2 linked regions of the Schizosaccharomyces pombe genome follow. The protein of the gene in region 1 interacts with the protein of each later gene in a biochemical or structural test. Each region holds a gene or a part of one and is shown on either strand. Other genes may lie near its edges. The genes, in order: mzt1 and alp6.

Evidence for each region.
Region 2: the proteins of mzt1 (region 1) and alp6 are reported together in a solved structure, tested with the Schizosaccharomyces pombe proteins (one study listed by BioGRID).

Annotation. Positions count from the first base shown.
Region 1 is NC_003424.3:1,984,688-1,987,352, reverse strand, and holds mzt1 (putative mitotic spindle organizing protein Mzt1), read left to right. Parts: upstream 1-1,744; 5' UTR 1,745-1,808; coding exon 1,809-2,003; downstream 2,004-2,665. Other genes in the region: PAK-like GC kinase Sid1, read right to left, coding at 125-1,423, 1,480-1,596; SPOM_SPAC9G1.08C (phospholipase), read left to right, coding at 2,060-2,665.
Region 2 is NC_003423.3:480,121-485,828, reverse strand, and holds alp6 (gamma tubulin complex GCP3 subunit Alp6), read left to right. Parts: upstream 1-2,000; 5' UTR 2,001-2,122; coding exon 2,123-2,250; exon of another isoform or gene 2,251-2,289; coding exon 2,290-2,351; exon of another isoform or gene 2,352-2,391; coding exon 2,392-4,223; exon of another isoform or gene 4,224-4,276; coding exon 4,277-4,753; 3' UTR 4,754-4,881; downstream 4,882-5,708. Other genes in the region: Ctf18 RFC-like complex subunit Ctf18, read left to right, coding at 1-1,256, 1,337-1,467, 1,517-1,880; U3 snoRNP protein Utp15, read left to right, coding at 4,933-5,250, 5,460-5,708.

The sequences.
Region 1 (2,665 bases):
TTCTCGTTTGGATGTGTTTATATATATTATGTAGATTAAATTATAGTAGAATATGCCATTATAAGTTCATTTAAATACAAAATTGTGAATGCTGTAAACAGGTTGTTTACGAGTTTTTAGTAAGCTATCCATTTAGACTTCTTCTTTTCTCAGTTTCTTCAAGCCACCGTGAAAATAGTAGTTGTGATATGGGGCTCCGCTTTTGCTTTTTGTGATGCAGTCTGTTGTCTGGAGTAATTTGGTTAACAAATTTTGAGGACAGATTTTTATCTAAAGAAATGAAAGATGTATAAAAAGATTCTAAAGATGAGCGCTGCGTTGCTGACAATTTATCATTTAATAACATCGATCGTATGGTGGACTTAATATAATGTTTCATAGCAAAATCGGAAGTCAACGATTTATGATAAGAGCTACCTTTTTCAGACAATGACTTGGAAAAAGGATGCGGTGTCGCTTGATCACTCATTATAGTTTTCTCTAAATATTTTATTGATGAAGGCAATTCCTCTTTATTTTGTGAACTGATGATGGAATTTTTAGGAATGCTAGTATTCCCTAACACAGTTGAGTCAGATTTCTTTACAGTTTCAAATGTCCAATCCTCAATGTCAGCATTTCCTTCAGCAATTGGTTCTTCAAAGGGCTTTAAAGTATTATTTATGGTTTCTTCCAATACACTTTGATCCGAATCATCAAATAATTTATTCTCCTTCTGAACAAGCAAAGGAATAATGTCTTTCACAGTTCCTGCGCTTTTGATGAATGGGTGTTGAAGGAGTTCTTTAGCTGACCATCGCATATTAGGATTGAGATCTAAGCAGCAGGACACAAAATCACGGAATGTTGGACTGAAATGATCATCTAGCTTTGGAGGCTCGGATTGAGGAATTTCAAAGATGACACGCATTGGATGCATTGTAGCGCGGGGCGGAATTCCGTTAGCCATTTCAATAGCCGTAATTCCAAGAGACCAAATGTCAGCAGCTAAACCATAACTTGTTTGTTGTATTACTTCCGGTGCCATCCAAAATGGCGTTCCAACAAACGTGTGTCTACGCGAAGCAGCGTTCGAAAGTTGAGCGGCAACTCCAAAGTCAGCAAGCTTTACGTTTCCGGTAGAGGAAGATAGTAGTATATTGGCGGCTTTGATATCTCTGTGGATTTTGTTTTGTCCATGAAGATAATTTAGCCCATAAAGGACCTCTCGAAGAATGATTGAAATTACTTGTTCATTCAACCTTCCCATTTTCAAAAGTCCCGAAACTGATCCTCCATCCATATGCTCCATCAAAATCCATAATGTGTATCCGTCAACAAAACAACCGTAATACTGAATTACATTGGAACTGTTGCAATTCGATAACATAAATACCTCTTGTTCGATGTCGGTAATGTCGTCAATACCTGTTTCTAAATCAATCTGCAACTGTAAGTTTTTTGTGATACTAAAGAAGAGTAAAAATTAATTAGTCTTACCTGTTTAATAGCGATAATGTCGCCAGACACATTTTCACGTGCTTTCCAGACAACCCCAAATGAACCTGATCCTAATTTCCGTAGCAGAGTATAAGAATTAGCATTGAGAGGATACATTTCATCAATATTTTGACTGCTCAAATCTGAGGTTGAGCCTACTTTCGGTTTCGTTTTACAAGCACAAGCTAGATGCACCACGAAGTACTTTGTTTATTACTTAGAGGATTATAATGAGCTACTCCGAGACGCCTATTCCAGTAAACTTAACATTACCAACTTGTTACGAAGTATATATAATTAGACTAGTTTATTATAAAGTATCGAGTTTTATGTCTGAATCTACCAAAGAGACAATAGAAGTTTTATACGAAATAGGAACATTGCTTGGAACTGAACTTGATAAAACAACGCTTTCACTCTGCATCAGTCTTTGTGAAAACAACGTACACCCAGAAGCAATAGCTCAAATAATTCGGGAAATACGTATGGCTCAGGAACAAACTGTTGACACAGAACCAAGTTAATGGCAAGAAGTTTAATCTCAATAGTTGACCTCGGGGTTTAGTATTTCTTTTATCTAATGTCTTCTTTAAACAGTGTTCTACCTTCAAATGCATGCGCAGAGATTATTGAAGGGAAAGACAAGGTTCACAATGTAGTTATTTTAATGCATGGACTTGGAGATTCTCACAAGAGTTTTGCAAATATGGCAAAGAACGTTCCGTTGCCCAACACTAGTTATATTTCCTTACGTGGACCATATCGATTACCATTAGATTTTGAAAATCCTGGAGGCAATTGGATGTGGGGAGAGGATGTCCATTTTGATCAAAACGGGGAACTGCAATCTGAAGCCGATTTCTCTAAAAGTTTTACGATGATTTCAAATTTAATTGGCAATCTACTCTCTTACGGTATATTATCTTCTAGAATATTTTTTTTCGGGTTTGGTCAAGGAGCTATGGTTGCTTTATATAGTTGTTATAAATTGTCTACTAAATACCAGCTTGGAGGGATATTTTCCTTTGGAGGTACTCTACCGCTATCCATAACTTTGCCCAATCATCCATTTCATGTTCCAGTGTATTTGTTTGAAAAGCGATTGCATTGTTCATGCAGCGAATATGAAGAATCGCGATTACGTAAAACATTTAAACCATTTCACCTCACATGTTGGAATCGTGAT
Region 2 (5,708 bases), on another chromosome or scaffold:
GGATAAAAGCTTGGGATCCTTGTGTGTTTGGAAAATCTCGATTACAGCCCTCAAAGAGTATGCGTTTTAACCCCAGATTTACTAATATCACTTCTGATAGTGATAGACCTGATAAACGGATTATGATGCTGACTGGACTGGCAGGTGCAGGTAAAACGACTTTGGCTCATGTTATTGCTCATCAGGCTGGATACAAAGTTTTGGAAATAAATGCTAGTGATGATCGTACTGCTCATACGGTTCATGAAAAGGTATCCTCTGCCATTAGCAATCATTCAGCCTTGTCATCTCAACCTACATGTGTTATAGTTGATGAAATTGACGGAGGTGATCCTGCATTCGTACGAGCACTTTTGAGTTTATTAGAGAGTGACGAAAAAGCGACTGAGTATTCTCAAGCTGGTAATTCAAAGAAAAAGAAAAAGTTTAAGAAACTTTGTCGTCCCATTATTTGCATTTGTAATGACTTATATACTCCAGCACTTCGACCTCTGCGACCATATGCTCAAATAATATATTTTCGACCACCTCCTCAAGCATCTCTTGTCGGTCGTTTAAGGACTATTTGCCGAAATGAAAATATAGCTGTTGACAGCCGCTCTTTGACTTTGCTGACAGATATCTATAATTCTGACATTCGAAGCTGTATCAACAGTTTACAACTTTTGTCTTTAAATAACAAACGTATAGATTCTGAGACCATAAAGCTTTTGCAACCAAAAAGTAATTCTTTTAGTACTTCTAGTTTAATCCAATCTCTTTTTTTACAACTTGATAATAAACAAATACGTGCAATTGAAGCATCGCAACCTACTTACTCACATTTGGACGCCCTCCTTGCAAGGATTGATGGAGCTAATGATTCTGAATCAGTCTTGATGAATTGTTTTCATACATACTTAGATCTTCCTTTTACTGATAGCTTACTTTCTAAACCTGCTTTGACAAGCGAGTGGCTTTACTTTTTCGACCAACTTCATTCACAATGTTATAAGGGAAATTATGAGTTATGGAGGTACATACCTTATTCCATTATTCATTTTCATTATTTGTATGCAACTCCTGAAAAGTGCCGCCTTCCGCATCCTCCCAGAAGTGATTTGGAAGCTTTAAAACTTTATCGTACTCGCAAAGAAATATTGGATTCATTCATATCGACGCTAAATGCTTATGAAAATCAAATGCATGGAGAAAGATCAATTCTTTTGGAACTTATCCGTACAATTTTAATTACCATAAATCCTACACTAAAACAGGTAAGGTCTATATATTTTAAAAAAAAAAAAAAAAAAAATTGCGTGAAACAATATTTTTTTAATTTACTAACTTTTTATAGAAAGAAGATTCTATGCCAAGGAGCGCTTTACCTTCTAAAATTGAGCATGCGATTAACATTTTAAATCATTATAATTTGCGTTTCCAACAGCTTCCCGTTGGAGATGGCAACTATGTGTATAGGCTTGAGCCGTAAGTTCCAATATTTTTATTTCTTTCTAGTAATAGCTAACGTTGACAGACCTTTGGATGAATTGGTTTGGGACGCACCTACAAGTTCATATTCTGTTCGTCAAATGCTATCTCAGGAACTGCTCAAGAAAAGGCTCGCAGACATTAAAAAACAAACCCTAACGGACAACCCCACTTCTTCGAATTCTTCAAGAAAGCGCAAAGATTTTAATTCCGGAAAAGCAATTAAGAGAGATTTTTTTGGCCGTATCATTTCTGAACCAAAATCTGAAGCAGTTACATCGAATAATGCAGCTTTGAATACAGGAGATCATCCAGTTTCCATCAAGCATGCAATCAATATCAAATTTCACGATGGGTTTTCCAATGCTGTGAGAAAACCAATATCGTTGAACGAGATTCTGAATTTCTAATCTAATGTGCATTAATATTTTTAATTTCAATCTTTTTGAAATAAAATCAATCATTTAATTTAAAAAAAAATCACTAGTAAAAATAGGTGTATGCGTAAATTCATCTAACCATTATTTCCTGACCGCGACTTCGGCGTGTACTTTGTCAATGGCTTTAAGATTTTGAGTTAACGATCAATACTTGTATTTCTCTATTTTAATTCAAAAATAAAAAAAATACTTTCGTCATTTGAAGTTCTCAAATGTCGGAGATTCATGTGAAAACTGCATTATCACGTCTGGCGGACAAGTATTTACAGAACTCCAAAAACCCTTCTGTCCCTTACACAATTGAAACGATCGTGTCTTTCTTTCAGGAAATAATTCACTCGTAAGCTAATTTCGTGTAAATGATCATGCTAACTGTTAGCATTTCTCCTGATACTTTTCAACTGGACATTGATGACATTCTGTACAAAATATATTCAAAAAGTATGTGAAGGTCTAAATACCAAAATTAACAGTTTTTTAGTTCCCCCCGAAGAAAACAATGATGCTTTATTTTCTAAATTATCTAACTTAGTTTCGCGTTTGAAAAGTCAAACGGTCATTCACAACAAATCTCAAATACTCTATTTCTTATACTTGCTCTCTCCTATTTCTCAGTCATCAAGAGATGTCTCCTCTCATTTATTAGATGAGTCTATTTCCAATCCTATCAATATTCCATCAACAGAAGTGGAATCCTCAAACTTTGGTCAGACACGTTACGATCAAGTTCCTGAAAACCCCCAAATTACTGATTGGGATGAAGGATTGGAAAATGAAAGTTCTATCTCAATTGCTCATGATTCATCTAGGCTAAACCGTAGTACTGAAACTTCTTCTGTTCAACATACTTTGATTACAGAAGCCGATTTGTTGTCTTCAATATCTTACGTACTTCAAGGAATTTCTACCGAATATGTTCAGTTTAAAAATGAATTAGCGCTGTTGTCTAAGAGAATACCTGTCCAATACCTTTTACAGATGCGAGCTCTTTCAGAGACAGGCTTATTATATCAGGAACTAAAGGTTTTCAGCAATTATGATCCTTCGGTCAGTCAATCCATTGATGGTGATAACGTTAGTAAAGCATTTATAAACGATCAGTCTTTAGCTTTACAAAGTTTAAAATCGGTCATTTCTAAAGAGCTGACTAATTTCCTTGCGTTAATTGCATCTCTGGATTCACAAATTCGAGCAGACGCTTCACTTGAGAAGCCTATGGTAACTATCCGGCGTTGCATTGCCTGGACGCAAGTTGCCAAGCTAAAACTTAGAATTTTGTCTTCAGTTGTTAATGATAATATGAACCAGGAGAATAAAAAAAGATTGATTCAAGTGGTTTCGAAATACAATGTGCATGGAGATCCGCTAATACAAGAATTGAGTGATAAAATACTAACAGAAATTACTGGACCTTTATACGAAATGATTGAAAACTGGATTTATAAAGGAGAATTGGTCGACCCTTATCAAGAATTTTTTGTTAAAGAAAAAAATGGTAGTGAAAGCCATGATCATCAAGGGCAAGGTGATGTCGTCTGGAAAGGTAAATATTTTTTAGACAAAGAGTTAATACCAAGTTTCCTTTCTGAAGAACTTGTCGACAAAATCTTTTTGATTGGAAAGAGTTTAAACTTCGCACGTTATGGATGTGGTGATTTTGACTGGGCACAAGAGCATTACCAGAAGCTAGTGAAAAAACTTAGTTATAGAGACCCTCATTCATTAGAAACAGTGGTTGATAAGGCGTATACTGAGTCCATTAATCACTTAGTATACTTGATGGAAGAGGTGTTTCATTTGACTGATCATTTAAAGGCTATCAAAAAATACCTTTTACTAGGACAAGGTGATTTTGTGGACTTATTAATGGAGAGCCTTGGTAATTCTTTGGATCAGCCGGCTAATACTTTGTTCAGACACAATTTGACTGCTTCTTTAGAAAGCGCCATTCGTTCAAGTAATGCATCTTATGAACCTGAATACGTATTAAAAAGATTGGATGCTAGGCTTCTGGAGCTTTCACATGGTGAAACTGGTTGGGATGTTTTTACGTTGGAGTATAAAGTTGATTCACCTATCAACGTAATAATAACACCATATTGCTCTAGACAATACTTAAAAATATTTAACTTTTTATGGAGGTTGAAACGAATTGAGTTTGCCCTTGCCCATTCCTGGAGGCGAGTAAATTTGGGCGAGCGAAATGTCTTCAGAAATCTGGATTACACAAAATTCGAATGGCATTTTGTCAGTTGTCATCTTGCGGAAATGATTCATTTTGTTTGTCAACTTCAATATTATATACTCTTTGAGGTAACGAAAAACCAAAACCCAATTTTGCATTGTATACTAACCATTGGAAACAGGTTATCGAAATTAGTTGGCAAGAATTACAGCTTGCTATGGAGAAACCAAACGCTACATTGGATACGTATATAGAGGCACATGAAAAATATGTTACTAGTATAACTCATAAGGGCTTGTTGGGTGGTGGTAAGTCAAGGAATGAAGATTCCTTCCTTCATCAGCTTCATGATATACTTAAAGTTATCTTAAACTTTCATGATGCAATTGAGTTGTTGTATAACTTTTCTTGCTCCCTGTCGAATAGAATTCGCATTAATGTACCAATTTCGACTGATGCTTTGGCAGCTCAATACACCCCTATAAAAAATGAACTCTCAAATTTTACTGAGGAATTCCAGGTTCGACTTCAAAAATTATTACATGGATTAGCTTCCCATAAGGACCCAGAAATGCGCTTTCTTTCCGTTCGTCTCAATTATAACGAATTCTACGTTTCTCATAGACGGCGTCATGATAAGGATGTTACCAGTCAATAAATGAGGTTCATGCATGATTATTTAAACTTTTATTACTCGTAGTAAACTATAAATTTAGTTATTAATATTTAATGTGATTTAACTATCGTTCAGCGGTGCTGTTTAATTTGCCTTTGCCAACCACCAACACCACCCACCCATTTGGTTAACTTTTTTCAGCAACCACATATACGGATATCATGTCCGCGCCTGCTGGTAGACTTCAACCTCAGCGTTTTGCTGCTTTACCTAATCCCGTTACTGCTGAAAATAAATTTTGGCGGTCATTCAAGGTTCCTGTCGTTGCCAAGGAATATAGTGCTATCACTAGTATTCATTTTTCCGCTGAATCCCCTTATGACTTTGCAGTAACTAGTGGGGCTCGTGTACAAATTTATGGAGCTAGTTCAAGGTCTGTTAAAAAAACAATTGCTCGATTTAAGGATACCGCATATTCTGGTAACATTAGAAAGGATGGAAAACTTTTGCTTGCAGGAGATGCTACAGGACTTGTACAGGTAAGTCTACATTACCAAAAGCTTTGAAAGATAGTTGCAATTAAAACGTTGATAAGCTGCACATGGAATTTTGTTAGTTTAGTTTAGCTGATTGAAGCTGTCATTTGCTAGTATATAGCTAAAAAAATACCATTTTTCCGGTGTTTGTCAACGCTTTAAACTTACTTTAGAGGTTTTCTTGTTGCCATTGATTGCTAATGTACTTTCAGATATTTGATTTGTCAACTCGGAGTATTTTGCGTGCTTTAGACGCTCATCAGTTTCCAGTTCATGTTACACAATTTTGTCCTTATGCCAATACCACGTTTCTCTCTGGATCCGATGACAAAACTGTAAAGGTCTGGGACTTGTCAACTGGTGCCGTTCAGTATGATCTTTCTGGACATGAAGATTATGTTCGTACTGCTTCATGGATGAGTGCTACTAGACTTGTGAGTGGTGGATATGATGGTACAATT